2 linked regions of the Oreochromis niloticus genome follow. Each later gene encodes a partner of the first gene's protein in a complex. Links are inferred from orthologs where the notes say so. Each region holds a gene or a part of one and is shown in the gene's direction. Other genes may lie near its edges.

Evidence for each region.
Region 2: the proteins of ptpn11a (region 1) and gab1 are in contact, whole or in part, in a crystal structure (PDB 4QSY), measured with the Homo sapiens proteins. The link is inferred for Oreochromis niloticus from reciprocal best matches to the Homo sapiens genes PTPN11 and GAB1. Residues at the interface, in NP_002825.3 of Homo sapiens: Gly13, Val14, Glu17, Arg32, Pro33, Ser34, Lys35, Ser36, Thr42, Arg47, Thr52, His53, Ile54, Lys55, Leu65, Gly67, Gly68, Tyr81, Gln87, Leu88, Lys89, Glu90, Lys91, Ile96; in NP_002030.2 of Homo sapiens: Lys623, Val625, Glu626, Tyr627, Leu628, Asp629, Leu630, Asp631, Leu632, Asp633.

What each region holds. Positions count from the first base shown.
Region 1 is NC_031972.2:11,310,171-11,326,855, reverse strand, and holds the start of ptpn11a (tyrosine-protein phosphatase non-receptor type 11), read left to right. Parts: upstream 1-10,547; 5' UTR 10,548-11,044; coding exon 11,045-11,058; intron 11,059-12,513; coding exon 12,514-12,636; intron 12,637-16,212; coding exon 16,213-16,407; intron 16,408-16,685. Other genes in the region: ATP-dependent RNA helicase DDX55, read right to left, coding at 24-86, 940-1,031, 1,296-1,382, 2,042-2,092, 2,174-2,281; tmed2 (transmembrane emp24 domain-containing protein 2), read right to left, coding at 5,886-6,010, 6,100-6,207, 6,706-6,898, 7,414-7,593. UniProt on the Homo sapiens protein: Acts downstream of various receptor and cytoplasmic protein tyrosine kinases to participate in the signal transduction from the cell surface to the nucleus. Positively regulates MAPK signal transduction pathway. Dephosphorylates GAB1, ARHGAP35 and EGFR.
Region 2 is NC_031967.2:38,048,564-38,065,663, forward strand, and holds the start of gab1 (GRB2-associated-binding protein 1), read left to right. Parts: upstream 1-10,418; 5' UTR 10,419-10,970; coding exon 10,971-11,045; intron 11,046-17,100. UniProt on the Homo sapiens protein: Adapter protein that plays a role in intracellular signaling cascades triggered by activated receptor-type kinases. Plays a role in FGFR1 signaling. Probably involved in signaling by the epidermal growth factor receptor (EGFR) and the insulin receptor (INSR).

The sequences.
Region 1 (16,685 bases):
AAGGCCCTCAGATCATCACATACCCTTTATCCTTGAACTTCTCCACATCCTCTGCTGGGTTACTGCCACCGATAAGTAAAATCTGCCTGAAAAACAACAAGTCGGAAAACATGAAAGACTTCTCCGATCATTAATGAAGTAGAGGTTTATACAACCGGTTACTATTTCAGTCACAGTTCAGTTAAAATAATAATTATGCTTTTCAAGGGGTTTTACTTGTATTTTGTAGGTGACACAGGCTCAAAATAATAACATGATCAGTGATGCACTGCTATTTGTTTAAGGAGCAGAGTGGCAACTTTACCTCATTCGACTATTACACATCATATATCCTGTCTGCACACCTTCATCAGTTTTATATTGCTTTCAGTAACTGTGACAGTACCACAGTAACTGTGTCACATATGTAAATGGGCACATCGCCATGGTCTTTTCCTGTCTGCTATAGAATCAGAATCAGAATCAGAAAGACTTTATTTATCCCCAAGGGGCAATTAAGATATAATGGCAGGTATTTATTAAAGCCACTATTATATACTGGGATATTTCGACATTAATCTAAAACACTTTCGTTCTTAGATTATGATGATGATATTTGACAACCTCTGACACCTCAGTATATATCAATAATGAATTAACGACCATTAGAATAGTTTCCAGTTTTATCCAAGGATAGCTGTAAAGGCAGAGGCCACCCTCACTAACTTCTGACTTTTCTAACCACACTCTTAAAGACAGACTTTTTCACCATGCAACCACATCACTAATTTCCATCCACCATTTGCTCTTTCTGACATATGGAGTGCAAACAGACATGTTCAGTTTCACACTTTTTTACCATTACACTTCATTCAAATCGGTTTTAAGAATTTTTCATCTTATTAACTAAGGGATTTGTATTACATACAATGCCCCTTTCACACTGTATCTTCTACTTACTTGAACTGTGGAAACTTCTCAATAAACTGCTCCATCACTTCACTGATCTGTACGGCCAGTTCTCTTGTGGGAGTGATCACAAGGGCACCAACCTGCAAAAGACATTATTTGGGGCTTAACAAAGTGTCCAAATCATATTGTTGAGGTTTTGTATATTTCACAGATTATCTGTAAAATATCAAGAACTATCATAACTCAGAGTTCAGCTGTTCAGGATCAAGGAGGTATTAAACTCTATAACAATATCACAAAAAAAGAACAAAAGCTAATTTTAATTACATCATACACTGCTAGTCACCCTATTTTTTTTTTTAAACTGGGGTTAAATGCCATCTTTGCTTCACTTTCATTCTTACCTGCATCTTCTTTAGCTTCTCTTCCCGCTTCAGGAGGAGTTCTATAATAGGAATGACAAAAGCCAGCGTCTTTCCACTCCCAGTCACCTGCAATCAAATGAAACTCAGTGAGCTACAAGGAGCTGCTGCGATAAGTCACAGGACAACCACTCTCTACACGTGTGCTGAGCAGAAAACCTTGCGGCAGACGGGGGGGGGGTCAGTCCGGTTGAGGTGGTTACATCAGCTCTGAGATTCGGGAAGCTTATTTCTTCGTTTACTTTCAAGCAGAATCAAAAACCCATATTTAAAATTATTAATGATAAATTAGGTTTTTCACTTTTAGCATGATTTATTATAACATGCATTGAAAATACAACAATCAGGGGATATGTCTGGGGGTCCACTTTTCCAGATTAGGTGGATTTTATATGGAATGACCCTGTCAAGACAATTTTTCCAGTCCAGTTAAATTCAAATGTCAGTACTTGCAGTGGTGGTTAATCGGTATAATGTATACTGTGCACATGGATGGTCACCACGTTTGTCAGCCCTGGAACACACTGGCGACCTGTCCAGTGTGTACCCTGTCTGCAGCCCTGGGACAGCTGGGAGAGGATCCAGACACCCGTGACACTGAATGGCTGAATGGCTGGCTGGCTGGATGTGTGGGTGGGTGTGTGGGAGGATGTTTACCATAACTCTGAAACATCTGCAATAATAAAATTCAGCGATCTTTATTTTTAATGGTTAAATGGCGCACTTACCGCCTCGGCAGCCACATCCTTGTTACTCATGAACAGCGGGATACAGGCAGACTAGAAGGGAAAATTCCAACAGATCAGATTCAGTGTTTACTGAGGAGAGGTGTGAGCCACGGGCTGAAAGTGTTCACTGACCTGTACAGGTGTCATGTGTGTGAATTTCAGTTCATCGAGCGTTTGCAAAATCTTCTCGTTGAGTTTAACGGGTAATCTGTCCCACGTCCCGTCTGTTGTATTATCCATGCTGGAAACCAAACATTCAGCAAAGCTTGAAACTAAAGCGGTTCACAGTGGGTCTGCCACAGTCGCACTCCACGATGCTCCTGTTTCCGGGTCCGCTGCTGTTTACACGCCGGGTGGGAACAGAAGCGCGCCAAACTGCGTGGTTCCGTGTGACACCGCGGTCAAGTGAGCCGTCATTTGTGAGCCGCTCACAAATGACGGCTCACACAAGATAAATAAAACCTTCCTGCAGTTGCTGGTCGTTCTCCTGAACGATGTAATTGTTATTATGATTTAGGATGTTTTTGCCACAGACTCTGGGCACCCTGCAACACTGGTTTTTCGCCAGGGCAAGCGAGAGCTAACAAAATCTAAAAACAGATATCAATAAAAACGTACCAAAGTGAAAGCGATCTCTCTCCTTTTATCTCAAGCAGGATTCTGTTATGCTATACAAACGTTTTGCAACACTGCAACAGGTGAGCTTCTCTTGGAAACCAACTCAGCCAACATGTGTGATGTAAATTACTTTTAATAACTCATTTAGTACATTAGTAATGAAAGCTTGAAAAACAGAGGGTGTAATTCCTGCCATGTCTGGTTTAATAACATAGGCAAGATGCATACTCCACCAGCACTTTTAACATCTCTGAAAAATCACCTGGTTTACCAAATGTACATTTTTACATTACATACATTTTTCATTCATTTTTATACTCCTGTAGATGCATACAGTTAACTATGTCACACAATCCTCAATCTTTTTAATTTATCTGCTTTTTAATATATTTTTAAAAAATCAATATGTAGTGTTTCTGATGGGAAAGCTGTAGTGTTCCTCACAGGACAGCTACCACAGACATCTGAATATGATCCATTAGTGGAGATTGAACAAAGTATAAAGTATTTAAATTGAGTTTAATCTTAAACATCTGCAGCAGGAGCTCGGCAGCAGTTAGGTGTTTTCACATTTCATATTATATTATTGGTACTTTTGTTAAAGTACTTTTTTTTCTCTAAACACAGCTTTTTTGGCTTCCTCTTTGGACACAATTGCTTTAGTTTCTTCTGCCAGAGATTCTCCCGTTTTCTGGTCGCAGAGGTGCTCTCAGAGCCACTGACTGACATCTTATTCTTTCAAGCTAAGATAACATGATTTAAATCTGCTACCATCACTCCTGTTCCAAAAACCTCAGCAGCATTCGTGCCTGAATGACCATCATCTAATAACTCCTATAGTTATGAAGTGCTTTGAGTGGATTGTCATGGACAAAATAAACAGGACTGAGTTCCTGCCCCTCTACTTTGGAGGAGCTGCTGTTGAGGTTATCGCCGGTTTCAAGTAAATGGGGATTCAAATAAAAAACGTCGTCATCTGGAAAACTATCTTTACTTACCTAGGAGACTTGAGCAGACTGACCTCTGTATTGTAGCTTTTTCATCATGGCTCAGGTGCAGACAGAAAGGCAATGCACTGACCAAGTACCACACAGAAGGTCATCGGCAGTAGCCTTCTATTCACTAAAGACATCAATGTTAGCAGATGCAGGAATCTTCTCACCCTGCTCATTAATGAAGCAGGAAGGAGGATGTGCAGCATCATAGCACCAATCATATATCCACACACCAGGGACTCATACAATAATACATTACACATGACAATTTGTTATATGCTGTAATTCCTAAAGTTTATATTTATATTCATACCAGCCCTCTCCTTGCACTCTAAAGCTTGATTTTTTGACTTTTGCAGGAAATTTACATCCTAACAGGAAATTCCTTTAATGCCTACACTGCAACCTTCCATGCCATTCCAAGTCCTTGTGGTATGTGTCCACCCGACGTGTGGTTACATTTCTGAGGAAGTGCATATCAGGTTATGTAGAAGGCTACAACATACTGTTAAAATGAGGCTCTGGTTATGGTGCAAGTTATGACGTAGAGCTTACGCCTAAGTATAATTCTCATGTAAAACCCATTGGATATTAATGTGAATTATTTATATGTGTTTTTTCCTCTAAATTTAGATTGGATTGCCTAATTTGTATTACTCATTTTAATTAAGTTGATACAGTGTTGCCTCACTGGTCCTTATGTTCTGGGATAATAAACCTCTTAAAATCTTGAAAAACTATAGGAGCAGCTGTGTTCCAAGGAATATTTTAATTTAATGGTGAAATTACACCTGTTGACAAGTGTCTTCTCTCTAATCATAATGAAACGTCACACCCATTTATAAAGACATCAAAATAATTGTACAGAATATTGGCTTTATTATGAAACCTGGGGCATTTTTTTTTTTTTTTTTTTTTTTTTTTTTACAGACCACAGTCCTACATTTGTAAAGATCTATTTAGCTGATTTTGTTGCACTCACAAAAAGGAGAGACTGTGTACAGAGCAACTTTCCTGCCTGCGCTCACCATGAATTATTTGAAATACAAATCTGGAGCATATCTGGTGCATGCACCATTTATGGTGTGGCTAAATGGAAACATCTACTGCCTTGGACGTATATACTTGGAAGAAAGACCTCATCCAAACAGCTGTCACAAGTAATGCTCAAGAGGGGGGAAAAAATTAACAGTTCGAATTTTATACAATCGTATAATTTAAAATCCCCAACCCTAACAAAAAATAACTATAGAAGCAACTAAAGAATTCAAATGTTTAAACCCCCTACCTACCCAGCCCACCCAAATCAACATGTAACATGGATTTCAGTATTCTTCTATACTTTGAGAGGCACCCCAAATAGTTTAGTTAAAATTCAACCCCGCCTCTGCTTTTTATGATCTTACAGCCAGGCCAAAGTTTTTAAAATCCAAGAGTTTGACAATCATAAATGTTAGTTTATGGCAAACAAAAGACTTCGCCGTTGAATTCTATTTCTGAACTATGTGGGGAGTGAGCCACACAATTTCCCCTGGAAAAGATGACCACCCACCTGTGCCACAAATCGCTATGAATCAATAGACAGTGTTAGAAGCTGTATAGTTTCCCTTAAAGACCAGCTGTAATGTAAATTTTTTCAGATAGCTAGACAAGTTCATCGGGAGTGCAATTTGTGTTTTTTGAGAATTAACACATTGGCAGTATCTGCCAGTCTGACTTGGCTTTGACACCTGAAATCAAACTTTTCCTATCTCAGACACTAAACTACTGCACTGATGTTTTCAGATGTGCCATTTTTATCATTTCAAAAAGGTTCCCATTTCAAACTTAATATAGGCAACATTCCACTCTGACTCCACACATACCTGTCCATTCATGTGCAATTTTAAGTCTTTCATTTGACTGCAGACACTGAGCCTTACAGTCATTTGCACAGGAAACAACTGTACTAACTGTAATTAAACAGATCTGTTAAAAAGAAAAACTAATAAACTGAAATTTATCCCACAATCTTTTGGCCATTCGTTCCAAACATAAATTACATTTATAAAGAAGAAACCAAACAGGTAACAAGAGAACAAAACCTCTGAGATCCAATCACATGTAGGCTTTACTCAAAACTGCCACTCTCATTTCCACAGTGTAAATAACTGTCTTGGTGTTGGAGGGGAAAAACAAAACAAAACAAAAAAGTACAGTGGAGGACACAGAGGAGTATCATTTGAATAGCACTACACCACTCGCCGCACTTCGAAAAATCGCTTCAGGTAGTAAATCTGTCCGAGTGTCATTGCCACCAGAACCAGAGCTTCAAAGAATGACCACAGGACCACTCTGCTGTTTGTGTTGTCATTAACTGGATGGAGAAGAAGAGGAGAACAATTATAAAGATTTATCTACACTTATGATTACAATGGTTATTGGACTTAATGTAAAGGCTCTTACTTGCTCTGTGTATCCTCTCACGGACCTCCATGTACTCCTGCTCGTGCTTCACGGCTGTCATGGCAACTGCCAGCTCGTTGATCATCTCCTCCAGCTTGTTTTGGTGGGCTGAAACAAGAGAAAAGTGACTTGTCAGTGATGAGTCACAACACAGTGGTAAAGAACCCTGCTACCCCCATTTGAAAAAGAACCCCCCCCAAACAAACAACAAAAAAAAACATGCAAGATGTGCATATCCTTTTCACACCTGTGATGCATGTATCTGCATTTATACTTCATACATGTTCTCAACATGTGCAACAAGTCAAATCATTCGCAAACATCACCGCGTCTGACATATGTATGCTTAATTAGTTTTTACTACAGACGCAACTCTGGTTAGAGAAGACTGCAGTGCATCACAAGCTCAAAAATTTATTTCACAACAGTAGTTTAGTCAAAGCCTGCTGTGCCCTACCATCCCAGCTGTCACCACCTACGAAGAGGGAAACAGTGAATCCACATAATAAAGTCAAAAAATGAGAAATGAATAAAAGGAATAATAATTTTACAAGCAACAGGAATAAAAAGAGTTGCGGTTAAACTACATAAATCCCCACTGTGTACCTTCCGTCTCCATATCTTGGCCTTTGGGAGCCTCTCCGATATCAATGGTGAACATGACAATCTTGGGTGTCATGGTTGACATCTTGTTGCTGAAGCAGAACTTGTAGGTTCCATCCATGTGCGCTGCCACAGAGTATTTCCCACTGGACTCTCTGTCCCCTTTGTAAATTTGCTTACCGTCAGGTCCTGTTATCTGGAGATAGAAGAATATCTAAATAACTGACATTGCTGCTTGAGTGGAGAATAACATGACGGGCATGATGTGCTTTAGGAAACATATGGCAGAAACTAAGTCAGACTGTCTGCAGAAATAGCTAGATTTTCTGCTTAAAACTAGCGAAAATAAACGAATTCTACAACGTCTACAGCGCATTGACTATTCAATAATCAATAATTAGCTACATAATTAGCAACTTAGAAACAATGCTAATGCTGCACTTCCTATATCATAATGGGTAATTTAATCATCATTATGGAGCAGCTCTTAGCGGGAAACTAAAAAAAGCAACTCTGTAAGATGTAAACGTTTTCCATTCAACTGTATGTTAAATCCTTTACACCTGCTTTGCATCCAACTAGTTTTACCTGACGGTACCGGCTAATAGCTAACATTAGCACAGGCCTTGTGTTGCATTGCATTTTATGATTTACAAGTACATTCTGCCTCGCGTTAGGTGACTCTTTTGCTATCCGAATGAAACATCTCACCTCGACGTCGATGTCCAGGAAGCCTCCTTCGGCCACTTCAAACATGAGGCCCATCTTGGTACCGGAGTTGACCCGCTCGTAGAAGCACTCCTCGGCATGGGCGTCTATGCTAACGAAGTAGCCAGAAGCAGTGGCAGACAGGACGGCCAGCAAGACAACTAGCTCCGACAAGGTAAACATGTTTCCGTGGTTGTATGGAGAGCGTAAACGTAAAGCTGACGGTATAAAAATTTTCTATGCTAATGTATATCCAGTTTGTGTGAGTGGACTGTTGCAGGAGACGAGCCGCAACAAGCTCGGCTACTCTGTGCTGCTCTCAGACTGCCACGTACGGGCTTACTGCACGGGTACCTGCGAGGGCCAAACCTCCGAGAATACATGACACACACTGAAAAGGAAGTGAAAGACAACTCTTCGTTTTCTCATTTGTTATTGGAAGAAGTCCCTTAAGTCCATGTAAGTTATATCTGCTTGCCAAAGTCAACCCCGTAAAGGGTCTTTATGTGCAACACGAATAATTAAAGAGTCGTGTTCTTTAGTTTACTATAATTTGTGTTTTTACTCTGAATGTAAATACTTTTTTCTGATTTATAAAAAAAATCAAATCAAACGAACATAAGTGAAAATGCACTAATTTAATGAGTTAAATACATATATTTATACAAATATATAATAAGAATATAATAAGAAAATATCCAAAACAACAGCACTAAGTCATCTAAGTAATAGTACACGATTATGAAAACATTTCATATCAGTTGATAGCATTTTGCAGTAACGACAATAATAATGATAATAATAATTTATTAATGTTGCATAGCAGTTCAAAACTCTACTTGAAGATAATACTACTTGAAGACACAGTGCATCACTGTAAGACTTTTTTGTAGTGTGGCATGAATGACAGACTTGAATACTTTTTTGTTAGATTTGTAACTTTGTAATATTTTGTATTATTTAATTCAGTTTAGTAAGTTACTGTTCTTACTGTCTTGGAGCAACAGTGACCAAATAATTTCCCCTCAGCTTAATAAAGTATTTTGATTCTTCTCCATTCCTCAGGTTTCCTGTCACTTTACAACATTGTATTAAACAGTTTGAACCAAAAGACTGTTTAACACAACCTGGAACACGGCTCTCCTAGACATCTCCATGCCTTCACAGGTATGTCATCTGGATAAACTCGGTTTGCACTCTTCATCCTCTTCATAGCTGCCCTCACTTCCTCCTTATTAATCCTCCACTCATTGTGATTCACTAACTTTTCTCCATCTGTTTTCCTGTCTCCTTCATTTTCTGGAATTATCAGCAGCTCAAAGTGCTCCTTCCGTCATCTTAACACACTCTCTTCTATTGTTAGTACATTTTCATCTCTATGCTTAACCACTCTAACCTGCAGCATATACTTTCCATTTCAATTTCTCTGTCTAGCCAATCAGCAAAAGTCCTTTTCTCCTTCCTTAGTTTCTTACTTACAACACACTACAATCCTTCTCATTTGCCACCTCTCTCGTTGTTGTATTCCTAGCCGTCCCGTACTCCTATCTATTTTCTTCATCTCCTAAATATGTCACTCCTTCTTTACTAACCTGTTTCATTTCATTTCCTATAGTTTCATGTACTTCATCATTTCACCACCAGGTCTGCTTTACCCGGTTGTGTCCAGAGGATCCACCAAACACCAGTGTCAGCACTAAAGCTGTACTTTCCCAGTCATCGGGTAACTCTTTCTTTCCACCCAGAGTATGCCTCAACTTCTTCCTGAACTCTGTGCAACATTCTTCTTTCTTCAACTTCTTTCACTTACTCCTTGCCTCTGCCTTCACTTGCTTCCTCTTCTTAATGTACAAAGGCATCCTACAGACAACCATCTGATGCTGCTTAATGACATTCTCCTCTGACACCACCTTCCAGTTTCCTATATCTTTCAGATTGCACATTTTGCATAAGATGTGGTCCCTCTGTGTGCACCTTCCTCATCTCTTATATGTCACCCTGTGTTCTTCCCTCTTCTTAAAGTACATGTTTAGTACAGACATTTCCATCCTTTTTGCAGAATGTACTATTATCTGTCCCTCTGCATTTCTCTAACACCTTACCTACTTAATACCTCTGTTCCCTTTGTCTACATGTCCATAGAATTTTGCACCAATCACAATAATGTCCCCCCTGGGGACATTATTGCTTCATCTGACTTACTCAACTTACTCCAGAATTTGTCTTTCTCTTCTAATTGACATCCAGCCTGTGTGGCATGCGCACTGACAACATTCAACATCGACCATTCGATTTCCAGCTTCGGACTCATGTTCCTGCCTGACACTTTTCACCTCCACAACACTGTTCACATACTCTTCCTTACCCCTACTCCACTCCTGTTTCTATCTACACCATGGTAGAGCAGCTTGAATCCCCCTCCAATACTCCTGGCCTTGCTTCCCTTCCATCTGGTCTCCTGCATAAACAATATATCTACCACAGTATATTTATACTGCCAACTTTAACCCCCAGACTTCTGTCTTTCCTACTCTCTCATTGCCTCCTAACACACCCTCCTCCTCTTCTTTTCCTTTGTCTTTGGCCAATATTAGCAGTTTACACCAGCACCCTGTTTGCCAGGTTGAAATCTCATCCATCATGACTTGAATGTTGGCCAAGGTTTTAATAGGTTTCTCCAAATATTTATATTTGTTGGATCAAATATAAATAAAATGATTTAAAAGGAAGATGCATGTTCACCAGTCTTATGGATGTACTATTTTGGGGAAAAGAGTACAATGCTTCAGTGATAAAGTTACTTACATCACCACTTGACTTTCTCCTAAGGTAGTCTCTGTTTTATGTGAAATATTTTATATGTTTTTGCTTACAAAGCAAATGACAAATATTGGATAGCTCAAAGATTGCATGTAAAATGTTCAAACAGAAAAAATTTGTTAATGTATACTAATTTTATCTGTATTTATTTTTACGCGTTTCTAATAACCCGAGTCGCCACAACAAAACATTACGAAAGTTTCATAATATCATTTTAAAAATGGTTGCGCATCTAATTACGTCACAAATAACATATGAAATGTAATTTATCTCCCGTTAGGGCTTAGAGCTGCGATTAAGTTTCGCTTTGCCGTGAGCACAGACAGTCAACGAACTGTTCGAGAAGCCTTCGCAGACGTTCTTCGTCGTTTGCCGCTTTCGCCGCTGTATCGTAAAAAAACCTTTTAACGAGCATGCGCTGAGTGAAAGTGATCTGGCTCTTTAATTTATCTGACGCCGTTTACCGGACGGACCGAGATCTGTAGCTTTTATTTAAGCGGGTTAAAGCGACCACGAGAAACGGCCGCCGAGGGTGAAAAAATCCATTACACCCTCTGTTTTGTCGCAGGTTTGGTGACGTCCAATAATCGACTTGCTGTGAAGTCTCCGGGGCCGAGGCCTAGAGACATTTTTTTGTAACGGGCGCTATCAAAAAAATTTGTGTCGATGCTTAACTAGATTTAGGTGCCCGTTTTGACCGGATGTGAACCAATGAAGCACTTTATACTGTAACTGAAGCTTTAACGGTGGGAAACGTTAGCCAGCTAATTAAAGCTACTGCTAACTGCCAGCGAGGAAGTGAGGAACGAAAAAAATGACATCTCGGAGGTAAGCGGGGGCTGTCTGGAAAACAATGTCTGCTGATAATGCTAGCTGAGTCTGCTAACTTTAAGTGAACTCAGCTGTTTGGATCTTGGTATGTCGGTAGACGGTCAATGAGAGTTCCGACGTTTCTGGAAATAAACAGAAATAGGTGGTGTAGGGCTGCTTCATTTAGCGTTACACCGGCAACTTAAAGCAGTCTTAAATTGTTAAGTAAACAGCGCTGTAACATTGGTACAGAACATACAAAGCTAAGCTGTCCACAAACTGTAGTTACTAATAGGTACAGTTAAAGTTAACTAACCCTGCTACAGCTGCTGTTAACAGATGCATCTTACTGGATTGATTTGTTATGCTTTGAGCTGCTGTCCAAGTCAAACCAGCTGTATTTACAAATAACTGAACATAAGACACCCCATATTGATACAAAAATTAACGAGTCATTTTAACGAGAAAACGGGAAAACAGCAGGAGTGCATCAGAAAAACGGAAATGAAGTGCTTTCACGTTATAGATATGTGCAGAGTAGGCAGAAGTCATAGCAGTTTCAACATTTTAAGTAAATTAAATTCCTTAGATTATAAATGTAACGCGTTAAAAAGTCATCGTTAGCGAGTGGAATAAAGATATTTCACATAGATGGTGCACAGACCACAGACTTCTTGTACAGACGAGAGGGAAAAGATGAAGATCATATTCACAGGGAGGCAGAGGCAGGAGATGACCACAATGGACGCATGAGTGAAACAGGCAGGCAGTCTTTTCGGGGGAGTGCCGGGTGGCAACTTGTAGAAAGAGCGCAGTCAGCCTCCGAATGTCTTTACTGGAATATACAGAGTTGGATAGAGAGGAAGTGAAGAAAGACAAAGACAGTGTGGCTCTTTTATACCTTTGGCTCCAAATCAGTCTCGATGTCAGCAAGCACCCTGTGCAATAATACCAGAAACATTGTAAGAGAGAGACAAGACTCTCAAAGGAATCGTTTATTAAAATCTAGGCAAGACATTTTTAACAGCAAGGATGGTGATAGGAATAACTTCCCCAGTGGCCTTTTGAAATCCTCATTATTGTGTAAGTCATTGACACATTTAAGCTGTTTTAATCAGATTCAGCTTTCATGTCCAGGTGACCATTCAAATTAAACTTGAGTATTACTTCAAAATGCCCAGATAAGTGACTGGAGATGTAACTACAAACTTTTAGAAGAACTTTGATAATACTTTCTCTGAATAGTGGATTGAAAATTGCAAATAATCAAGTTTTAAGCAGTTAATTCATAATTTTGGGCACCTCTTAGTACTATAACTGACCATCAACTCTGAGTTTATTATGTCATGTTGTTGTTGTGCAATGTATGGATTTTTGGCAAAAAGTTCACACAATGCACTTTATAATGAGTAAAAATTAAATGCATGTACTTAACAGTAAGTCTAAATTGTTATTTTACTTGTCCTCTTTCAGGTGGTTTCACCCCAACATCACAGGTGTGGAGGCTGAAAACCTTCTGCTGACTCGTGGAGTGGACGGGAGCTTTTTAGCCAGACCCAGTAAAAGCAATCCAGGAGACTTCACGCTCTCAGTACGGTAAGTGAAATTACACACGTTTGTACAAAGCACCATACTCCAGAGGTGCATCCCTAGTGTACTGTGGGGATTGTGAAAACTAAACAGTGTTACTGGAGCAAACATTTGGACATTGAATAATCTGTCTCCTGATCCAATGTTTTTTTTTCTTTTCTTTCAATGATCTGGATGCCTTTCTTTGACTTTACAGCAGAAGAATTGTTTTGCATTACCCTTTTACAAGTTAGATTAAAATAAAAATAAAACAGTACATTCTTGCTCATGAAACAAGTAAGGAAACAAGGAACATACAAAGTTGACTGTCAGAGTCAACTTTACAGAGGTTTGCTTTGATATTTTGGCTATCCCTGTGGTGTGCATAAGAGTTTTAAAAACCATTACAATACAGGAAGCAATGGATGAACTGTGATTGTTCCGCTGTTTTAATAAAATCTGCTTTTGCACTTTATAAAAATTTTTTACAAATCAACTTGACAAAGACTGAGTTTCTGTTAAGGTGATCAAAGTAAATTTTGAATGGTTGGACTTTTCAGTATTGCCAGCCTTAGGTTTTTCCATTTTTTTATTTTTTTTATTTTTTTTTGGGCTTGGTCACAGATGCTGAAGGCCTTTAAACAGACAGGAGTTATACAGCATTATCCCTTCAGCTGGAAGAGAAAATATAAATGGATTGAATGAGCAACAAATCATTTAATTTCACTTTAAAAAATGAGATAATATATGTAAACTCCAAATTTTGCAAGAGTGATATTTTTTACTGGATTCTCCTATTTTATGATCTGCATAAAGCAACATTTAAGACACACTTTTTGTAGTCCATCTTCAGGACAGTGTAGTTTCACCACAGCAGTGTAAGTGAATATTAAAATGATCCTACCTACTTTGCTTTCAAGTAGAACCACACCTCATTAAGTTGGACTAATCAGTATTTTGGCAGTAACAGTGAGTCAAAAGACTGTGGAACTTGAATTAGGTTTTGATAAATCTACAGAGAATAATCCCTCAGTTCTGCAGGATGTTTTAGTCTGTTTAGTATCATTGTCTTTGTTTTCCACTCTCTGCTCTCATCAGATTCGTTTCCAGGAACAGCAGGCAGGTGTTTTGAGCGAACAAGCACAGATAAACCCCTGCAGCACATTAGCTACCCAGCACTAAACTAACAAGCAGGCAAAGTTGGAAACTAGCACATCTACATCTAGCAGCTTAATGGCCAGATGGTTCACTTAGGAGTTGGTGCAGAGCAAGCCTGAGAGTAAATATTAGACTTATATTTATCAGGTGGACACAAACATGACTGGAAAAGAGTAATAGCTTTGCTTGGTCTGCTCGGTGTGTGAAGAGGGAATTGTTTAAGTAATAACATGACACAATATGTCTGTATTAGTTCTTTATGTTCTGTCCCTTGCAGCATAATTGGACTATTAAATTGTTGTCTTTCCTTTACAATTTTGGACGATAGTGAGAAATGCAGTATTATCTGAAGAAGGCAAGACCAGTGTTTGCTGATGCAGAAAAAACAAACAACTTTGTAGTTTTATCTTGAGGCCTGTCAAGTCATAAATTCTATTTCAAGATAAAGTATCATTAAGTCAGTTTGGCTGATGTAGCCAGTGTTATTTTTGGAACAGCCACATATTTCATCTGTACGGTCTCTCATCTTGCACCATATTTACTTCCTATGGAAACAAAACAAATCATGCTTCTTGTGTGGAAACTGACATTTCCACAAGGACGTTAGTTTAAACCAGCGTGTCTTTTTTTTTTTTTTTTTTTTTTTTTTTTTTTAACTGTAAGTCGCTGACAGCAATTGAGCTGCATATCTGCCACAAGTTCTCCTTTTTTCTATTTTCTGTGTTGATGGCAGTCACCTATAATGACTCAACAGTTAGTCTGGTTTGTATCACCAAAAAACATATGCAAATAGAAATGATACCCAGTGGTGTTAGTGGTGCATGTTACACAGTGTTAAACTGATTATCACTTTGCTAATTTTGTATCATTTCTCACTCTGCATCAGAAGGGCTGGAACAGAAACAAACCTAAGGGTTGTTTCAGTTCATTTAATGTAATGTTGTGCCTGTAACAGTTTCCTAAAGTTGGTGACAGTATAAAATTTTGTGTTCTGTTTGAAAGACGAAAGCTGGAGGCACAGAGTACCAAATATTTTCATTATCACCTAATGTCCTGATTGATTGAGATCCAATGAATTACTTCATCTGGAAAATGTCATAAAATCTTGTTTTGTCAGATCAAGAGAACTAATTTTCACAAGTGAGAAATATTGTGAACATCTTAATCTTGGGGATTAATCATGGTCAGAGTGATTGCCTATAGCTTTCTGTACTTTCATGATGCCATCTCCTCTTAAAGCTGACACTCACGACACTGTCATTTGTAGGTTCATCCTGTTTGTTATCAAGTTACAGCTTAATGTAACTTCTGTGATTCAAGAGCTAAGACAGTTTATATCCTGTTTTGCAATGTAATCGTCTTCTGTTTATAAGTTATTTTTTAAAAATTTAATTCAAGTAAAATTAAATTAAATGAATTCAATTTCATTTATCTAGTGCCAATTCACAAGAACACTTACCTCAAGGCATTTTATATTGTATGGTGAAAACATCCACCTGCCACGATCAGGTGTGAGTGAGGGGGGAAGAGAAGAGTGCGGAGGGAGACAAGACAAAAGACACACTATGGGAGAAAGATTAAGAGTTTAATAATTAGTAATGATTTGAATGCAGTCGTGGTCAGTGATGAGTAAGGTGCTGAGTGCGTCATGGAAGTCCCCCAGCAGCTTGTTGCGGCATAACTCTGGGTCACTTGATCAAGCTGTAACTATAAGCTTTATCAAAAAGGACATTTTTAAGCCCTGCGACAGACTGGCGACCTGTCCAGGGTGTACCCCGCCTCTCGTCCTATGACAGCTGGGATAGGCTCCAGCGTCCCCCGCGACCCTGGAAAGGATAAGCGGAAGCGAATGGATGGATGGATGGATGGATGGATGGACATTTTTAAGCCTGTTTTTAAGTGGAGAGAGTCTCTGTTTCAGTTCTCAATTTAACAAGGGCTCCTGTGGATGCAGCTTAGGAGAATTGGAAGGTTGGTGGTTAGATCCCTGGTTGTTCCAGTCTGCATGCCAAATGTCCAAGTTGCTCTATTATTAGTATTATTTTTCTTTTTGCATAACTGGAGCTGATGGTGATAATTTTTATTTTATTTTTTAACCCTCCCTAACCTTTACCCCAAAACTGATTATTAAAACTATTTTTTAAAATAAAATATTCAGTCATATAATTGAAGACAGAAGAGGGCAGTGAAGAGTGAAAAACAGACCAGTTTTATGTGTACAAAAATGGACACTACACAGTGGTAGAACTAAAATAATTAGAGAAAAATACGCTGAAAAATTCTGCAAATTTTATGACTTCATAATATTTTGGCTGTTTAGCTCGTATCTGAGCTCAAAATATGAGGAAAAAATGGATCATAGGCCAGATGTTCCTACATTTGTAACCTGATGATGTTGACGATCTTACATGTGATAGTAACATAAATGTTTGTGCTGTTCTGCAGGCGAAATGGAGCAGTCACCCATATTAAGATCCAGAACACAGGAGATTACTACGACCTTTATGGCGGGGAGAAGTTTGCCACACTTGCAGAGCTGGTGCAGTATTACATGGAACATCATGGACAGCTGAAAGAGAAAAATGGTGACGTTATTGAGCTCAAGTATCCACTCAACTGTGCAGATCCCACCTCAGAGAGGTAAGTGTTAATGTTCATGTAATATTTTTTTTGTGGCAGAAAAGTTCTAAAAAACAAAACAAAAAAACTCCAAATTATTTGTCGATAATTTCTGAACACTTTGTATATTAAATTTACATAGGACCATTTTGGACACAGGTGTTGTTTTTTAAACTATTTGATAACACTATAGTTGCCAATTCAATTCACACTTACACAGTAAGTAAGAACTATAAGCTTCAGATTTTAATGTTATGTCTTTTATTTGTGATAAGTTGTGCTTACTTCAAGTGAACTAG
Region 2 (17,100 bases), on another chromosome or scaffold:
CAAGGCCACCTGGGTTGGCTGGAAGACTGTTTACTTAGCCTGGCAGGGCGAAGGACACTGTCTCAGCTGAACTCTGGACACACACACACGCACACAGACATATATACACATGCAGACATACACTCATCCCCCCTCCCCCTCCAAACGCCTTCGACGCTTATTCCCTTCCGATGCTGACGGTGGATCATGGAGACCAGCACATAGGCTGCAGGCCCGGATGTACTGTCTACATCGGCTGTCTCTCACCCTTTACCCACCCCTGTTGCTTGTCATGTGTTTCTTTGGTGTATTAAGAGTTTTTTCATGTGCTATGTGCAGAGGTGTTTTTTTTCTGTTCTCAAACTGATCTCCCTGTTGAAGCTCAGTCTGGGGGGAGTTACTTTTTTCTCCTTATCTTTCCTCATGTTGTGCTTTTCCATGTTATACCTCTCTGACCTGTCTTCCCCATGTGATGTTTTTGTGTAATGTATGTATGGTCGAAGGGTAAGATGGCCCCGCCGTTGCGTGCAATAGGTCGGCAGCCTTATGAAATTTCCCCTTGTGGGACTAATAAAGGTATATCAAATCAAATCAAATCAAATATCAGAGTCCAAGAACCGATAAGCGGGATCGATAGGCAGGTGGACTAACGACGTATTTATTCATGGTCATTCAGTGGAAGAAATAGAACAGTTTGTTGTACTGTCTGTATCAAACCGATATTATGAAAGCTATATAGCATGCCAAATAATTAGACAAAATAAATAATACCTACCAGAAGGAAATAACTGAACAGCATAATTTGCTAGCACAATATTGTCTCCGTCAATATCATCTAATTACATCAGTGGTATTTTAAATTTAGTGCCATCATAATTTTATATCAGGATCCAATTTAATTACCACATAATTTGACTTCCAACCACATATCTGCACCTTGCAATTTTCTCATTAGACGTCATTTGTGTTTAAATTAAGAATGCAAATGTTAACACAAAAATAGATCTTATACAGCCAAACATTTATACCTTTCCACTCTCAGTGTCAAAATAAAATATAACAAATGAGGCACCAATAATTTGAGTTGACCCTCACCTTGTAATCTAATTGTAACATTGCAGCTTTAGCTTGAATGATTAAATAGCGTTTACCCTCACTGACTTTATTTTTTGTCGCTGTTTTGTTTGAACAAGATGTTAATTTTCCTGTTCTGTGTAGACAAAGCAAACATAACACCAGACTGCTGGGAAAATGTACCCAGAAGAGAGAAGGGGGAGGAAAAAACAAAAAAACAAAACAAAACAAAAAAAAAAAAAAAAAAAAAAAAAAAAAAAACCACACACACCACACACCATAATCAGACAATAATTTCCCTCTGAATTATTGAGCACACCCCAAATCACAGTACTGGCAAACCTCAATACCAGAACAACCAGTATGACCAAAATAGTGCAGAAGCCCTCTGCTTTGACTGGTCAACCCTGTCCCCATCCTGTTCCCCTGGGCCAGGACGAATCAAAATACAGAGTACACAAAGTGTCACGAACTGGCTGTGTGGAGGCAGATGAGGACCCAAATGCAAAACTCACAGAGACAAAAGCTGAACTCAAAATCACTGCTTTATTGCAGGCTTCTGCTGAGGACCAAGGGAACACAGAAAGGCACACAGGTTCAGGAAAGAGACATTGACAATGCAACACAACACTGAGGGAGACATGGACATAAATACAGTGGGTTAACGAGGGAAGTAGAAGCACATGGGGAACACAGGTGACACTGATAATCATAACGAGACACGGCAGGAGCAAACACCACACTGACGTGAGACTATCAAAGTAAAACAGGAAGCACACAGGGAGGCTGATCAGGGGGAGAGAGAGAGAGAGCGCATGGGAGAGCACAGACATAACAGGCTGGGGAAAACATGGAATAAAACACAAGGAGGGGAAACAAGGACTCACAGATACACAGAGGGGCACACAGAGGGTAAAGTCACAAGGGGAAATCAAATAAGCAACATCTTAATAGAACAACGTAGGAACCCGAGCCGCCAGCGGGAACAGAGGCAGGGCCAGCAGGTGTGGGCACCCCTGGCTGAGGGGACGTAACTAGCTGCACAGGGCACGCAGCCAGCTTGGGATGCAACAGCTTGGGCTGTGCCGTGCAAACAGTCTGTCCAGGCTTTGTCAGCACAACGCTATCCTCAGCTGGCTGAGTTAGCTCACTAGAGCCTCCAGCAGAGGATGGCAGTAACTGAAAAGGTTGCTGAGCTACTAACTGAGCTGGTGACAGAGTTAATGACTGAGCTGATAACTGAACAGGCAACGAAGCAAGAAACTGAGGTGGTAACAGAATGGATGACTGAGCAGGTAATAGAGCTGACAACTGAGCTAGAGACTGAGCTGGTGACAAAACAGGAAACTGAGCTATGGACAAAAGTACAAGTTGTAGTGGTGGTTGTGATGATGGTTGTAGAGATGGTGGATGAGCAGGTAGCTGAACTTGTGACTGAGCAGGTGGTCTGATTCTTGGCTGTTCTCCTCCGGGGAACAAGAACGGGTACTGGGCCTGGCCGAACACCAGCAATCCCCACCCGAGGAACAGATACGGGTGCAGGGACGAGCTGGGCTCTGGCTGCCCTTACCCTGGGAGCCGGTGTAGGTGCAGGAGCTGGCTGAACCAGTGCTGCTCCCACCCGATTAACTGAAACAGGTGCAGGAGTCGGCAGGGTCACAGTTGCCCTCACCCGGGGAACCAGAACAGGCGCAGGCAACGGCTGGGTGTCCGTCAACCCCGCCCGAGGAGCAGGTACGGGTGCAGAGATGAACAGAGCGTCCGCCAGCCTGGGGACAGAAACAGGGACAAACTGGACCTCAGCCGCAATTCTTGGCTCAGAAGGAGCCGTTATAGAAATAGGAGCATTCTCATAGACTGCTTCTAAATACGCTGGCTGGTGAGCAGCACAGTCCAGGAGTGAAGAAACACCAACCACGGTCTCATGCTTAGCAGGCACAGGAGTAGGGATGTTAACACTAGTAGTGTGAATTAACTGGGTGTGCAACTAACTCTGGAATATTCCATCTGAGCTCCCCTAGCAGTTTACTCATGACGGACGGTAACTTGTTGCCCTTAACCTTAACAACCGTGACTGAATACACAGTTTTAGTGTTTTTAAACCCCGAGTTAACAGACTTCGCATCTGCTCTTGTTAACTTGGGAGGAGGAACATTCTTTATCCCTAGAGACGCAGTTTCAGAGCTAACAGACGAGGCAGTAAAATCTAAACGTGACAGAGGTTCAAATCAAACCTGAAGAACAGAAAGCGCAGCCTTTGAAGGTTGGAAGACTGTTCATTTTCCAGGGGGTCCCTTCCGGTTTCAGCAGGAACCTCAGGACTGTTTGTTTTAATATTTAGTTCATAGGCATGCGACTCAAAAATAGTCTTTCGCTTTTCTAAGATGAAATTATCCGTCTGTGTATTAATTACTGCTGACATGGGAGGAGCAAAGGAAAAACAGTCATTCTCAAACATGGGCGTGAGAGTAGGTAATGCAGGCTCTGAATTAACTGACCCAGAATTACCAGACACTGAGTTAATGCTCTCTGGGATGACGCACACAGAGTTTACAGTTTCAGAATTGTTTAATTCAACTGGAACAGCAGTCTCTAGGGGGACGATGAACTCAGTCTCATGCTTAGTAGGTGCAGAGGTGAACTTAGAAACATTGTGTGGCTTGCAAACAGTCAACTTTAAACTTACTATTCCTCTTCGATGAGTTACAGACACGAAAAACGGTGGACTCAGGAACAGAATATTGTCCAATTCGGTCCGGCTCGGAAGGAGCATGAAAGAAACAGATTCACTCACCACCAGAGTTTGCTCAGTAACTTTAGGGTGACAATGGCGTGAGCATCGTTTTTTTCCTGGGAACTGTGCCGTGAGTTGCTGGGGCCGTAGACGTAGGCACCTCTGAGACGTCGGCTGACTGAGCCGAAGACGGGCCGGGCTGCGTCGAACAGTCAGGGAGCTTGTGCAGCTCCGAGCGTGGAAGTCCCAGGAAAAGCACAAAGGACTGCAGCGGAGATGGGCTGCTCGTTGGAGGCACAAAATCTCTCCTCGGCCGCCGAGTACCCCCCTTCTTTGCGCGGGACGTGGGTGGCAATTGTGGAGGTGAGCTGGAGGTTGAGGAGGCTGGAGGAATTGTGGCAGGCCACAGACTAAATCCTCCAACTCTTATCACCGGGGAACGAGGTGAAGAAAAGGCAGCAGCATTTGCAGTTTGAAGGCTGAGCGACCCACCTAGAGCCAACCGAGTCATAAAAGGTGGACTCGCGCTCCCAGGCATGCCGAGACTCCTGCCTGCTCCTCTCGTTAGGAAAGGTGGAGTCTGCACGCTGCCGATTCCATAGGGAGTTTGCTGGGTCCATGACTGGTCACGTCGTACTGTCACGAACTGGCTGTGTGGAGGCAGATGAGGACCCAAATGCAAAACTCACGGAGACAAAAGCTGAACTCAAAATCACTGCTTTATTGTAGGCTTCACAAAGAAACAGAACTAAACTAGGAATGCTAAACTGAGGACCAAGGGAACACAGAAAGGCACACAGGTTCAGGGAAGAGACATTGACAACGCAACACAGAACTGAGGGAGACATGGACATAAATACACAGAGGGTTAACCAGGGAAGTAGAAGCACATGGGGAACACAGGTGACACTGATAATCATAATGAGACACGGCAGGAGCAAACAGCACACTGAACCACACTGACGGGAGACTATCAAAGTAAAACAGGAAGCGCACAGGGAGGCAGACCAGGGGGAGAGAGAGAGCACGGGGAGAGCACAGTCATAACGGGCTGGGGAAAACATGGAATAAAACACAAGGAGGGGAAACAAGGACTCACAGATACACAGAGGGGCACACAGAGGGTAAAGTCACGAGGGGAAATCACACGAAAACTAAGAATGCTGGGTCAACATGACCCAGGGTCATGACACAAAGACTGCAGAAAGATATAGTTATTATGGATATTATATGGAGCCAGAAGTACACAATGAAAAAGATGTCTTCTTTTATTGCCAAACCTGTCCCAAACATAGAAAGCAGCCAAGCACAGCCACTAGATATATTTCTCATTCCGATTCCTCTTTCATTTCTCAGTCCCAAGAAGGTGATGGGATGACCAACAGCCAGGTAGCGCTCCACACAGGTCAAGACGTGAAGTCTCGCCAAACCAGTTGGACAAATGCATAAGGGCCCCCACTAAAAGTATATTTAAATCTTGGTTGTAGTTAGCGAAACAAATGAGGATACATCCAAAACTATAAATTAGTTCCATAGTGACTATGTGGTATGTGAAACTGTCTGAATGACTTGCTGTTGATGCTGAGGAGACAGAGTGCCCTCTCCACCTTTGTTGCAGACCATAGTAGAGGATAAGTGTGCAGAGGAGGAGGAGGATATTGGTGATGCTGAAGGAGATGAAACGGAAGGAACTTGGTCTGTAGACAAGACACTGTATTTTCAAAGGAAGAGAATAGCTGATCAAGGAAAGAGAGTCATTGGAGGTGGATGAGATTACTGACATCTGGAAGAAAATATAAAATAACAATCACATATAAAACATAAAATCATATCAAATGTCAAACTGAGAAAATGTACCACTGTAAAAACAAAATAAGCTGATTTTGAATTTGATGGCAGGAACACATGGCCTTGTCCTAATTTTCCAATATAGATTTTTGACCTTGATCCATTAATTCAAAATTTCACAGTTTCTTTAATGATATTATGTACATCATACAAGATATTCAAAGTCTTTGCAATTTCATATTGAGAAACAGTATTCTTAGATTGTTCAACAAATTGTATATGCAGTTCTTTCCAGATTGGTGAAAATATGCCCGTCTAAGATGGTCTTGTTATATTATTTTTATTACCATTTAACGTTTAATATTTTTCATGAAATTACAAATTGTCTCACTTTAAACTTTTCTTATGGTTTCTGGCTCTTTTGTGGATAAAATATGTTTGTTTTTTGTTTTTTTGTACTCAGTCTTTTTGAAATTGCGGTTTCATGACATCACTCAATTTTCATCTGTCCTACTTTGTTAACCAATCCCCTGCACTTGCAGCAAAATGTATCTCTTTTCCACCGCTTCATTTCAAGATATGAAAATTATATTCAAAGATAGAATAAAACTACATTGAAACCATACAGAACATTGTGATTTAATTATGTCTTGAATGAAAAACTAAAGATGTAAAAACAGAGAAATATTCTATAATTGTTTAGTTGTGACAATATTGTTTATTTTATTTTTTTATGTTTAAAGAACTTTTCCCTTGTAAGTAGTGTGAAGTGATGGAGGATTGAGGAGGATGCTCTGTGGTGACTAAAGTGAGCAGCTAAAAGAAGAAAAAGAAGAAGAAGACTCTCTTTGTCAGTAGTCTGATCTTCCTCCTATTGTGAGACACTCTTGTAAATGTCTGATTCGAATGTCCACCTCTTTTAGAAAATGAGTGTTTTTGTAATAGGTGAAGGGAGGAGTACAGGAGTACACATGCTATAATTCAAGTTCGTTCTTTGAATCTTTTTACACGGTTAAAATACGTTGGCCTTTATATTTTCTTTGTTTTCCCCTTTTCCCACAAGGCCAGAGAACAATTAGCATGACGTTTATTCAGTGTTGTCAGTTACACGAGCCAAGGTGTGTCCATGACGGCACTCTGGATTGAGAGATTAGAAAAGCTGCAATGTTATGAAAATACACGTATAGTAGAAATTTAACTCAACCACAAAGATTTGCTTCTAGATGGCTGAAATGTGCTCTTAGAAGGACTTTGTAAATGATCACCACCAGCTAATCATGCAGCTAGAATGAAGCCATGCAAATGATACTCATTTTTTCAGAACATTTTCATAATTCAAATAACTTTGAAACAAACAACGATCCATGTGTATACAAATCAAGTAATGCACTTTAGGTCATCACAGCTGCCCTCGTGTTTTATTCAAATATGAGCTTTCTTGTTTTGATTCTCGCAGGGGTGTTTAATCATGAAAATAACACAAAGTGAATATGTGTATATCAAGAAGAATCGAATCACTGCTTTCGACCAAATGACCTATTATTATTTCTCACAGGTGTATTTTTAGTTAATAATATATTTAAAATTGATATGCAAAAAACTGTGACTCTGCCATAAGAGTCACATTGAAGTAATGCACCACGCCCCACCAGTCCACCCTTTACTTGCAGGGTTTTTTTTGTTTTTTAAATGTGCAACAATATTCATTTTATATCCGTGGAAATGAAGCAGTACATATCAGATGAAAAATCATAGGAAATGTAATATTGTTGGGTGAGCCATCCATCCATCCATCCATCCATCCATCCATCTTCATCCGCTTTATCCGAGGCCGGGTCACGGGGGCAGCAGCCTAAGCAGAGAAGCCCAGACCTCCCTCTCCCCAGCCACCTCCTCCAGCTTATCCGGGGGAACACCAAGGCGTTCCCAGGCCAGCCGAGAGATATAATCTCTCCAGCGTGTCCTGGGTCTGCCCCGGGGCCTCCTCCCGGTGGGACATGCCCGGAACACCTCACCCAGGAGGCGCCCAGGAGGCATCCTTGTCAGATGCCCAAACCACCTCAACTGGCTCCTTTCGATGTGGAGGAGCAGCGACTCTACTCTGAGCCCCTCCCGGATGGCCGAACTTCTCACCCTATCTCTAAGCGTTGGAGGATTTTTCATTTTCAATATCTGCAGAGTTGGTGCTGAACACTGGTTGGATGGTCCCCCTGTGTTTTGCCTACGGCGCCAATCAGTTCAAGTATGTTCAGTTAATAATCCAAGAGACAGTCAGTGTCAGTTTGACACTTTGGTGTCTAAATCTTTGAGAGACCTTCTTTAACAAGAAAATCCTAAAATGGCTATGAAAAAGACAAATATCAACAGCTGTTTTTCTTGTCAACAGAAAAACAACAACAAGAACACAACAGTGACTTTAATTGCAGTTCTGTATAACTAACACCAGATGGCAGTAAATAGCCATATGTCACTCTGTATCAAACACAAACTGATAACTAGCTAAACAGATGGCCACATAATGTCAGTGTATTTTTACATTGTCTGACAGAAACATTGTTGTTTCTCTCCCTGTACTATTTTTCATTCCTACAAATTCTTTCTCCTCTTGTATTTAAGAAATGACAAAACGAACCTACTTTTGGCCACTTCCTTATTCACAAGAGGTCCCCACAGCAGGTAAGTCCACTTATTTTTGTCACAAATACATATACAGTTGTGAACAAGTCTTTGCCGCTTACCCTTTTTTTTTGGATATTTTTCACACTTAAAGCTAAGTATATTAGAAAAAAACTGTTTTTATATCATTTAAATCATTATTTCATTTTAATCACGATTTTTAAAAAAATGATATCCAAACCTATGTGAAAATGTAAGCCTGGAAAAGGTTACAAAGCAGTTTTTACAGTTTTAGGACTCCACACCAAACTAAATGAGAGTCATTATCCACAAAAGAAGAAAACTTTGAAGAGTGGCGAACTTTCCCAGAAGCAGCTAGCGTACAAAAATTACTCCAAGACTGCACTGATGACTCACCCAGGAGGTCACAAAAAAACACAACAAAAAAGAAAGTCTACAAACGGAGGAAGAATTTAAGAACAGTGTTCCTTAACATAAAATTATACAGACTTAAATATTTAAAATAAAGTGATATAATAATGGATATAATCACTCATGTAAAATTGTTCTGAGGTCAGAGAAATTGAAATTTGAAATTACTTTTGGAAAACTTGGATGACCTCTGAACTAAAGATAAGAGGGACCATCCAGCTGGTTACAAGTGCTTAGTTCAAAAGCCTGAAACTGTTCAGGGGTGTGTTAATGCCTTTTGTTGTACCTTATACTTCTAATAATGCATGATTTTCTTTGACAAAAGTACAGCAAGTTCTAATTCTCCCACCTAGTCACACAAAACAGAAGTACAACTCATACAACCTGAGTTTTTCCTAGGTGTTTGAGGGAACAATTGCCAGTTTTAAAGAAAAATGATACTATAAGATATTAATACTATATTTAGTAAAGGAGTAATAACTTAAGAATCAACTTTCAGCTGCTCTAGTACACTATTGAGCTGTTGTAGTTTACACATTTGCTTGGCAATGAAAGGTCCCTGGTTCAGTTATAGTTGGAGATACAAATCCCATTTGGGGTTTTGTCCTAAAAAGGCATTTGAGGCAAAAGTCTGCCACATCAAACATGTAGTAATTCCCACCATGAGGTCATCATGGTGGGAATTACTACATGTTTAAAAGACCTGCAGTCAGCTGAGACTGAAGAACTCACTTGGATGAGTGACGAAATGTTTCTCCCACTGAAAACGCTACGTCCAGATGAACAGAATCAACTTTTGGAAAATTATCTGTGCCATTTTTTTTTTAAATATAAAGCTTCTGTTTGTTTGTTTTTTATGTCAAGCAAATTACTATTAACAGAAATAATACATGTACTTCAACTGCAATATAAGAAAGGAATAAATAAATGAGCATCATATAAAGATAATATTGACAATAAATCAATTTATGTGTAGGTTTTGATTTGAAAACAGTTCAATTATAAAAAAAAATAACTTAAGAATTAAAAAAATAAAATATAAGGTATAATACAAGAAATAGTCAAGCCATGTAAACTGAAGTTATTACAAGAGAAGAAACTGAAGAAAGTGGACTTCATCTACTATTTAGTTTGAGACTTTCAGCACTGGAGGGTGCTGTAGCCTCCCTTTTACCAATATAATATATTTTAAAGAAGTCTTTAATTTCAAGTGTACTTGGAACTCTGGAAACTGATCAACTTAGGGTTAAGCCTAAACCTTAAACAACTTTCAGTGCTCTTTCACACAAGATACCTGGAGATACCAAGGTACATGGATTAAGATATAATCATCAATAGACCCCAAGGTTGTTCATAATGGCTGTTGAGCTGTTACTGAATGTATGCATCTTTTTTTAAGTAGAAATTAAAAAAAACAAACCAAATAGATGCTGTTGAAGGAAAGAAGTTTTTTTTTTCTTGTTTTGTTGAACATATGTTTTCTTTTGTTGATATCAAAAGTCTAGTCTGTCATAGTAGACCCATACTCATGCTTATTATATTTAGAAATCTAATTTATCCATCAGTTTATTCAACTTATGTCCATGCCATGTTCACTTTATTTTAAAGTAGACATCTTTCTTTTCCCTCGCACATTTTCCAAAAAAAAGCTGCATCCATATCCACAGGGGGAGTTTCCTGTTACACGGAACAGGAGGAGAATGGGAGGAGTGAGGAGGAGGAGGAGGGAAAAGTGGGTGGAGAGGAGAGCAGGAATGTCCGAGCTGAGGCATTGTGTTCAGTTATCACACAACCACAAAATGCGAGAGAGTGAGAGAAAGGAGGGAGGAGGGAGGGAAGAGTGACTGCTGGGAAGTTGAAGCTTTCTCAAAAGGAGGTGTGACTCAGGCGTCGACGGGTGAACAGAGGCTCTTCCATGTGTGGATAGAAACTGCTCAACTGATTCATTACAGCAGGATTTTACTTAAAAACAGACTGGGAACCTTAACTTATTAAAAGTCTGATTGACAAGTGGAAGCCTGACCTACACATGTACAGATCAACTGACTGGACCTCAGACTGGTGCGAAGCTTGGATGCCTTGTTTACCAATTTAAAGGCAAATCAGCTGATCTCGAATCTGGTTGGAATTGATCATTTTTAACAAAACAGAAGACTTACTGAAACGTTTAATTAACCCATGTGACATTTGATTGGTTAAATGTACCTGACTGTTGGAAATTCATGGTGATCAACTGAATGGTTGCCTGCTTTGACACATTATTGGCATCCTGATCAACTGAGGTCCATCTGATTGGTTGATTGATAATTAAAGAAGCGCTGCTGGAGCCATTTTTGTTGGCATCGGGATGAGCGGAGCAGGGGAGGTGGTGTGTGAAGGGTGGCTGCGAAAGTCTCCCCCAGAGAAAAAGCTGAGGCGCTATGTGAGTATTTTATTTGAATTTGAAACATTTTGAAAAAATGAAACATACAAAAAACTGTGCATATGTTCTGTATCTTTGTGATGTCCAGTGTGGGTATATGAAGTATCCTAAAGCTGTACAAAGATTTTTAATCAGGAGTACAACTACAGAAGTATTACTAACTGTTCATGGAGGTTTGTCTCTGTAGCATTTAATTAAGTTTGAAGATTCGTCTCAGTTTCATCAGTGTTTACACAGTGAGTCATTTCCTACAGTTACACACTCTTGATTATAAAACAATAAAAACTATCCATCCTAACACACCTGTCAACTAGACAGGAAGCAACACTGTAATGTTACTTGACTTTGTACTACCACATTATAAAATAAAGAGAATATTTGTGGAAGGACAAAGTCAAGTCTATGGTTTACCCCATCCTTCACATTAAGACAGCTGAGATAGGCTCCATCACCACCATGACCGTGAACTGGATTTGCAGTGGATTCGTAAACAAATGGATAGATTTTTATTTCTAAAAAATGAGAATTCACACATTATTTATTTGGCCCTATTCAGAATACAGCTAATACACAAGCTAAATCTAGAGAAAAAGAAAAACAGCTCGATTGTATGCTATATCTTTAGCACAGCTACAATATTTCTACTACAGTTAGCATATTAGCGTGCAAGCTAGCTGTTTGTTTACTTCAGTCAGGAAGCAGACTTTTAATTACAGCTAGCACAGCAGTCAATATCCTTAAAGTGACATCTGTAGCTGTCTTGTATTTGTATCGTATTGTAGGTGAATTTATTTGTGAGTCCTTTCTCTATGAATTTATGTAAAATGCATACATCTTAGCCAAAAATGTTAAGCCTTAATCCCATTATCTTTGAAAAAACAAAAACAAAGATGTGACACAGATAAATACGCTGATCTTTAGCTGATATATTAGTCCTACAAACTAACTGTTATACAACTTGTCATTAGAAACATAACTGACTTAAAGATGAGCTACAACATTGCTACAATGTAACTTGTGATCTGATAAACATGTAAAATGAACAAAGTGGACAGTTCTAGCTGCTGTCAAAAGGAACAACTGTTTCCAGTTACATGTAAGCCACAAAAATGTTATTTAGCATTTTTCAAATCCCAAACCTGACAACCTGGCTCTGTGCCTGTAATGAATACCAGAGACTTGGACCAGTTTTGTTTTTTCCTGAATTCTCCTTCACTATGTAGAATAAGTGGAAGGATGGATTAATGAATTCATGCAAGTTGGTGTGTCCAGTGGCACCACTGGCTGCTTTATTCCAGTAAAGAAGCAGCTTAGGCAGTTAGGATCACATGCATGCACCGCATATTTGGCATACCTTACCAGTGAGTTGAGCTAATCTCATCTCTCCTTCCATATTTTCCCTTGATGTTTTATTCTTTCCATTTCTAAACAAATGTTTGGTGTACCTCTCTCTGTGTTTCTCTTTCATTCTTGTGCTCTCTCTTCCTCTCCTATGATCACATGCTTTCCTTTCCTCCTGCCCCCACTCTCTCTCTGTCTGTCTTTGTGTGTGTGTGTGTGTGTGTGTGTGTGTGTGTGTGTGTGTGTGTGTGTGCAGGGAAAGTGAAGGATAAAAAATAGTCTAGAAGAAAAAGTGATAGGAAGTGAAGCTGCCTTCAATACCAGAATCTGCTCAGGGAAAGCTGAACAATTTCCAGATTTGAACCAGCAAGCTTTTACGTGAGAAGACGGCTCTTTGATGAAATAGCTGAAACAAAGCATCACTAAAAGGCCGGCGAAAAGCACAGAGAAACTGTGCCAGCATTAATTAGGCAGACTTCAATTTAATTCTTCTTAGCTGACATCAGTAGACCCATCGCAGGGAACGTTTTTAGGAGGGAACAATCAGATTTCAAAGAAAGTGGAGTGCTGGAGTTGCACTTTCTTACTGCTTGGTTAAAAATTAAGGAGACCGTGCACATCCACTGGAATCAAAGAAGAAGAGCTGGAGGAAAAGGGAGAAGAAGACAAGAGACGAAAACGCAGAGAGGCGAGACGGCAAGAAAAAGAAAATTGCTCCAAACAGAGAGACCATTGTTGAGTCTGTGTATATATTCAGTCATGATGGTATATACAATGAAATGTGTGCATACACTGCTTGGCCAGCTGTGTCTCCAATATCAACACACTCACACTTAAACACACAAACATGCACAGTCCCCTACAATGGCAGAAGCAGACAGTTTGTGTGTGCTTGTTCATGTATAGTGGGTAAAGTTCATGGAGTGTACTTCGTCACACACTCCCTGTACTGTTGAAAGCTGTGTGTGCGTTATGTAATAAACTAATCACACTCAGCTATGCCTGGTTAGAAGATGAGGGCCTCCCTGAAGATTTAGAAGATTTGAAAACACACACACACACACACACACATTCTCTGGAAGCAAACCAGGGATAATGATGAGGTAAATTTTGAAACCTTGAGTACAATAACACATGTTTTACACACACACACACACCCAGAAGGTCAAACACAGTTGAAGAAAGAGTTGGCTCTGCAAAGGCCCTCTCTTGGATATATATCACAGTTTGGATACCTCCAAAAGTCCTGCTCTCCATCAATGTAATGGTGCAGTGGTGCTCTACAGACAAGTTCAAAACCTAGCCTTGGAAAGGTTTGAATAAAGAGCTCTGATTTTATGCATCCCAGCACCACAGATGCTCAAACACCACTCAGCAGCACCCACAGAGTTGAACGTTACTTAGCCACGGCCTGTAAAGTATGTAGCATTTATGGCACTCGATAGGATAATGGGATACAATGATCTGTCTAAATTGCTGGTGTGAATGGCTCTTATATTTGACATTTATTCCATTCCATTATGCGGTTGCATCCGATTAATGCGTAGCAGGATGCTACAAGATAAGTTTCAGTCAGCCACGGTACACCTGAAATGTTACATTTCACCTCGAGAGAGTTATTCATGATTTCAGTTTTTCAAGTTGAAAAATTCCTAACCTATGATTTAAATGAAATACAGCAAAGCTAATCCTGTTTCACTCTAATTTGGGTCCTATACCTTACATTTGTCTGTGTATGAAACTTTAGGCTGAACATGGGCAAAGCAGGAACTGTTTTATTTGGAAGCAGATCTGAATCACTGTGTTTACAGCTGTGAGATGGGGCGTTGACCTTGGCTGAGGACATGCTCTCTGGGGCAATTCTAATTTCTTTCTTTTCTGCTTGTTGGTTCTGCTCTAATATTGAGATCTGGGAATGACATGGCTGACAAGCACCACTAAAAAACGAAGCCAGTGAGCGAAGAAAAGACCACACTGAAAAACAGTTTAGGCATATTTATCTGGATTAGAAAGCAAACATAAACAGGAAAATTACCACCAAATTATCAGGGTTAAACTTTTATCTCTTGTAATATTTTCCTTTGCAATCTAAGCTTTAACTTCTTCTTGACGCTCCAAAGAGCATCTGAGGAAATTCTGAACAACTAATAGAATAAAGTTGCTATTGGTCAAAGTCATTGATCCATCCTGGTACCTGCTGTTTCACTTCCATAACACAAAATAATCTTATTTCATCATATCTTGAAATGAACTGTTTACCCCAAACATCACATTCAAACACTTTCAGAAACAATTTGTCTAAATCTGCCAATCAAAAGAAACTTGAAGCTAACTAACATTGCATCTTAGAAAGGGACAGGGCATGAAAGTGTTTACATCCTGTTACACGAATCGTAAGCCAGGACCTCTAATAGTGGGTTGTAGATGTACACTTCCTTCTGCACAGTCAGTCATACAGTTAAAAGGTGCAGTTCAGTAGAAAGAAAACAGTTCCTACATGAAACTGTTCACTACAAGTTTTGTAAAATATATTTTTGGGGAACTGGGTCTGATTTGTGGTAAGAAGTGCTGCTGCTGATGTTCTACATGTAATTTAGTTCTATTATATTTAAAAGAAAGCAGACATCTCCAAAACTGGGCAAATGGCACCAAGCTAGATAGATTTTAAAAAGGATGCTAATTTCATTCCATTTAAAGCCTCTAAAATCTATGAAGCAAACTGAGGAGTCCAGCTTCTTAGCCATATTCACTTACAGCTATGTTCAAAATATTATTCATCTAATTTTTGTTTATGTTGCAATAAAGCATTTAGAATAATTTAGGTTTTTTTCAGTTTCTCATAAATGAAACTGTCTGCAAGTGACAGCAAACAAACTGAAGGTGTTTTAAAGTCACATGTCTGCAGTTATGAGAGCTCAGCACTAAATGGAATGAGAAGATTAGGGATTACAGATGAGAAGAGGAGGAACTGAACAGCAGGAATATTGTTATTCAGGTCTGGTGTTAATTTTGGCTTGGAGACAGGATGGAGGAAGTGTTATTTTAGATCCATTGTGCCCTTTTCCTGCTGAGGTCAAAGGTCAAAGAAAGAAACCAAATGAAAGGAGAGGAGGAAAGAAACTGTTAAAGGAAAAGAGGTTATCTTCATTACTTTAGGTGGATTTAAGGCCACTGCATGGGAGCACAGTGCACAGTGGACATAGGCAGCAAACAACAGATCAAAGGTAATGCTATAAATGTTTCAGAATAAATGCTGTCCAGAGGTTACACTTGGGATCTTAAATATAACAAAAGTATAAACTGGCACAAAGAACATCAGTAATTGTTTGCTGTCTAAACTGTTCTGACCACTGTCTTGGTGATGATAGTGTAGTAGAAGTACAGTTCCAAATAAATAAAATATGTGATGAAATATATAAACGGTTACCACTGTGCTTAAAATTTGATCTTTTTCATCAGATCAGCAACTAAAAGGACGATGAATGGACAGTCCAAATTGTGAAATCAGCAAATGTGGAAAGTAATCTATGTGAGTCAAGAACAAATGTTGGTCTTAGACATGTTATTTTTCCTACTGTTGGCCTTAGTATAGTAGCCTTAGCATAGTAGCATGCATCCCCAATATGATCATCTTAGCCACACAGCTGGGACTATGAGCAAAAAGCCCCACCCACCGCCATTCAAACTTTTTGTTTCGGCTTGGCAGCCAATCTGAAGAAAGTTGACTTAAAGATAAAAGGATAAATAAGAATTGTTTTGAGCTTGGAACCATGCAAACCTACTCTTGTAGAGTACAAGAATAAAAAAATTAATAATAATAATTTAGAAATGAGCATGATAAATGTCTTTTACTAAGAAGAAACAAATCTCATATTTGTAAAACCTTACAAAGACATGGAGACAATCTTATCTCTTGTACTGTGGAACAGCAGAAAACAAAATGAATGATGCCCTAGACTTGTCACTGCATGGCAGGCATGATGTGGGGTAAATCAAAGTCCAGCTGACCCAATGGATGCAAGAAAAAAAGGGTGTTTGTAGGCATACACAAGTACAAGGATATACTGGAGCACTAGAGCAACATGTAAGTAGAAATGCATGTTGATAAACAACCTGCTGACTTCTCCAACCTTCAAAAAAGGACCATTACTACAGGACATCGAATTGTCAGTGAGTCAAGGCAGTAATACCAAAGGAAAAATTTTATTCGTCTCTGTGATGTCAGGAGACTGAAAAAAACCAAAGCAAAATAAAACAAAAAACAGTATTTCACAAACTGGAATAAGAATATTATTTCTGATACTTAGGTATCTTATTATTGAGAGTTATATCTTTAAAATAAAACAAAACAACCAAACACACTTTTGTGGTCACTGAAAAAAAACATGAATATGAAGATATTGATGAAGTGAGTTTTTTCTTCTAATTAACATATTGTTTTAAATAAAAATGCTAAAGAAACACAATAACTCAGTAGGCAAAACAAGTAAAGAATTTGTATAACAAAACCATACACTGTACATAAAAAAGGGTTTTCTAACAAGTCTTCAGGACCACCTTAGGACCACCTGACAATGAAACTGAAGGCCAATGGTGATCATAATTTACAAGCCGAACATCTTTTTTTTTTTCCAGAATCACATGAAACTAGTGATAAAGGGTTTATTAAGGGTCATAAATCACAGAATTTTACTAAAGATTTTTATACCACCAA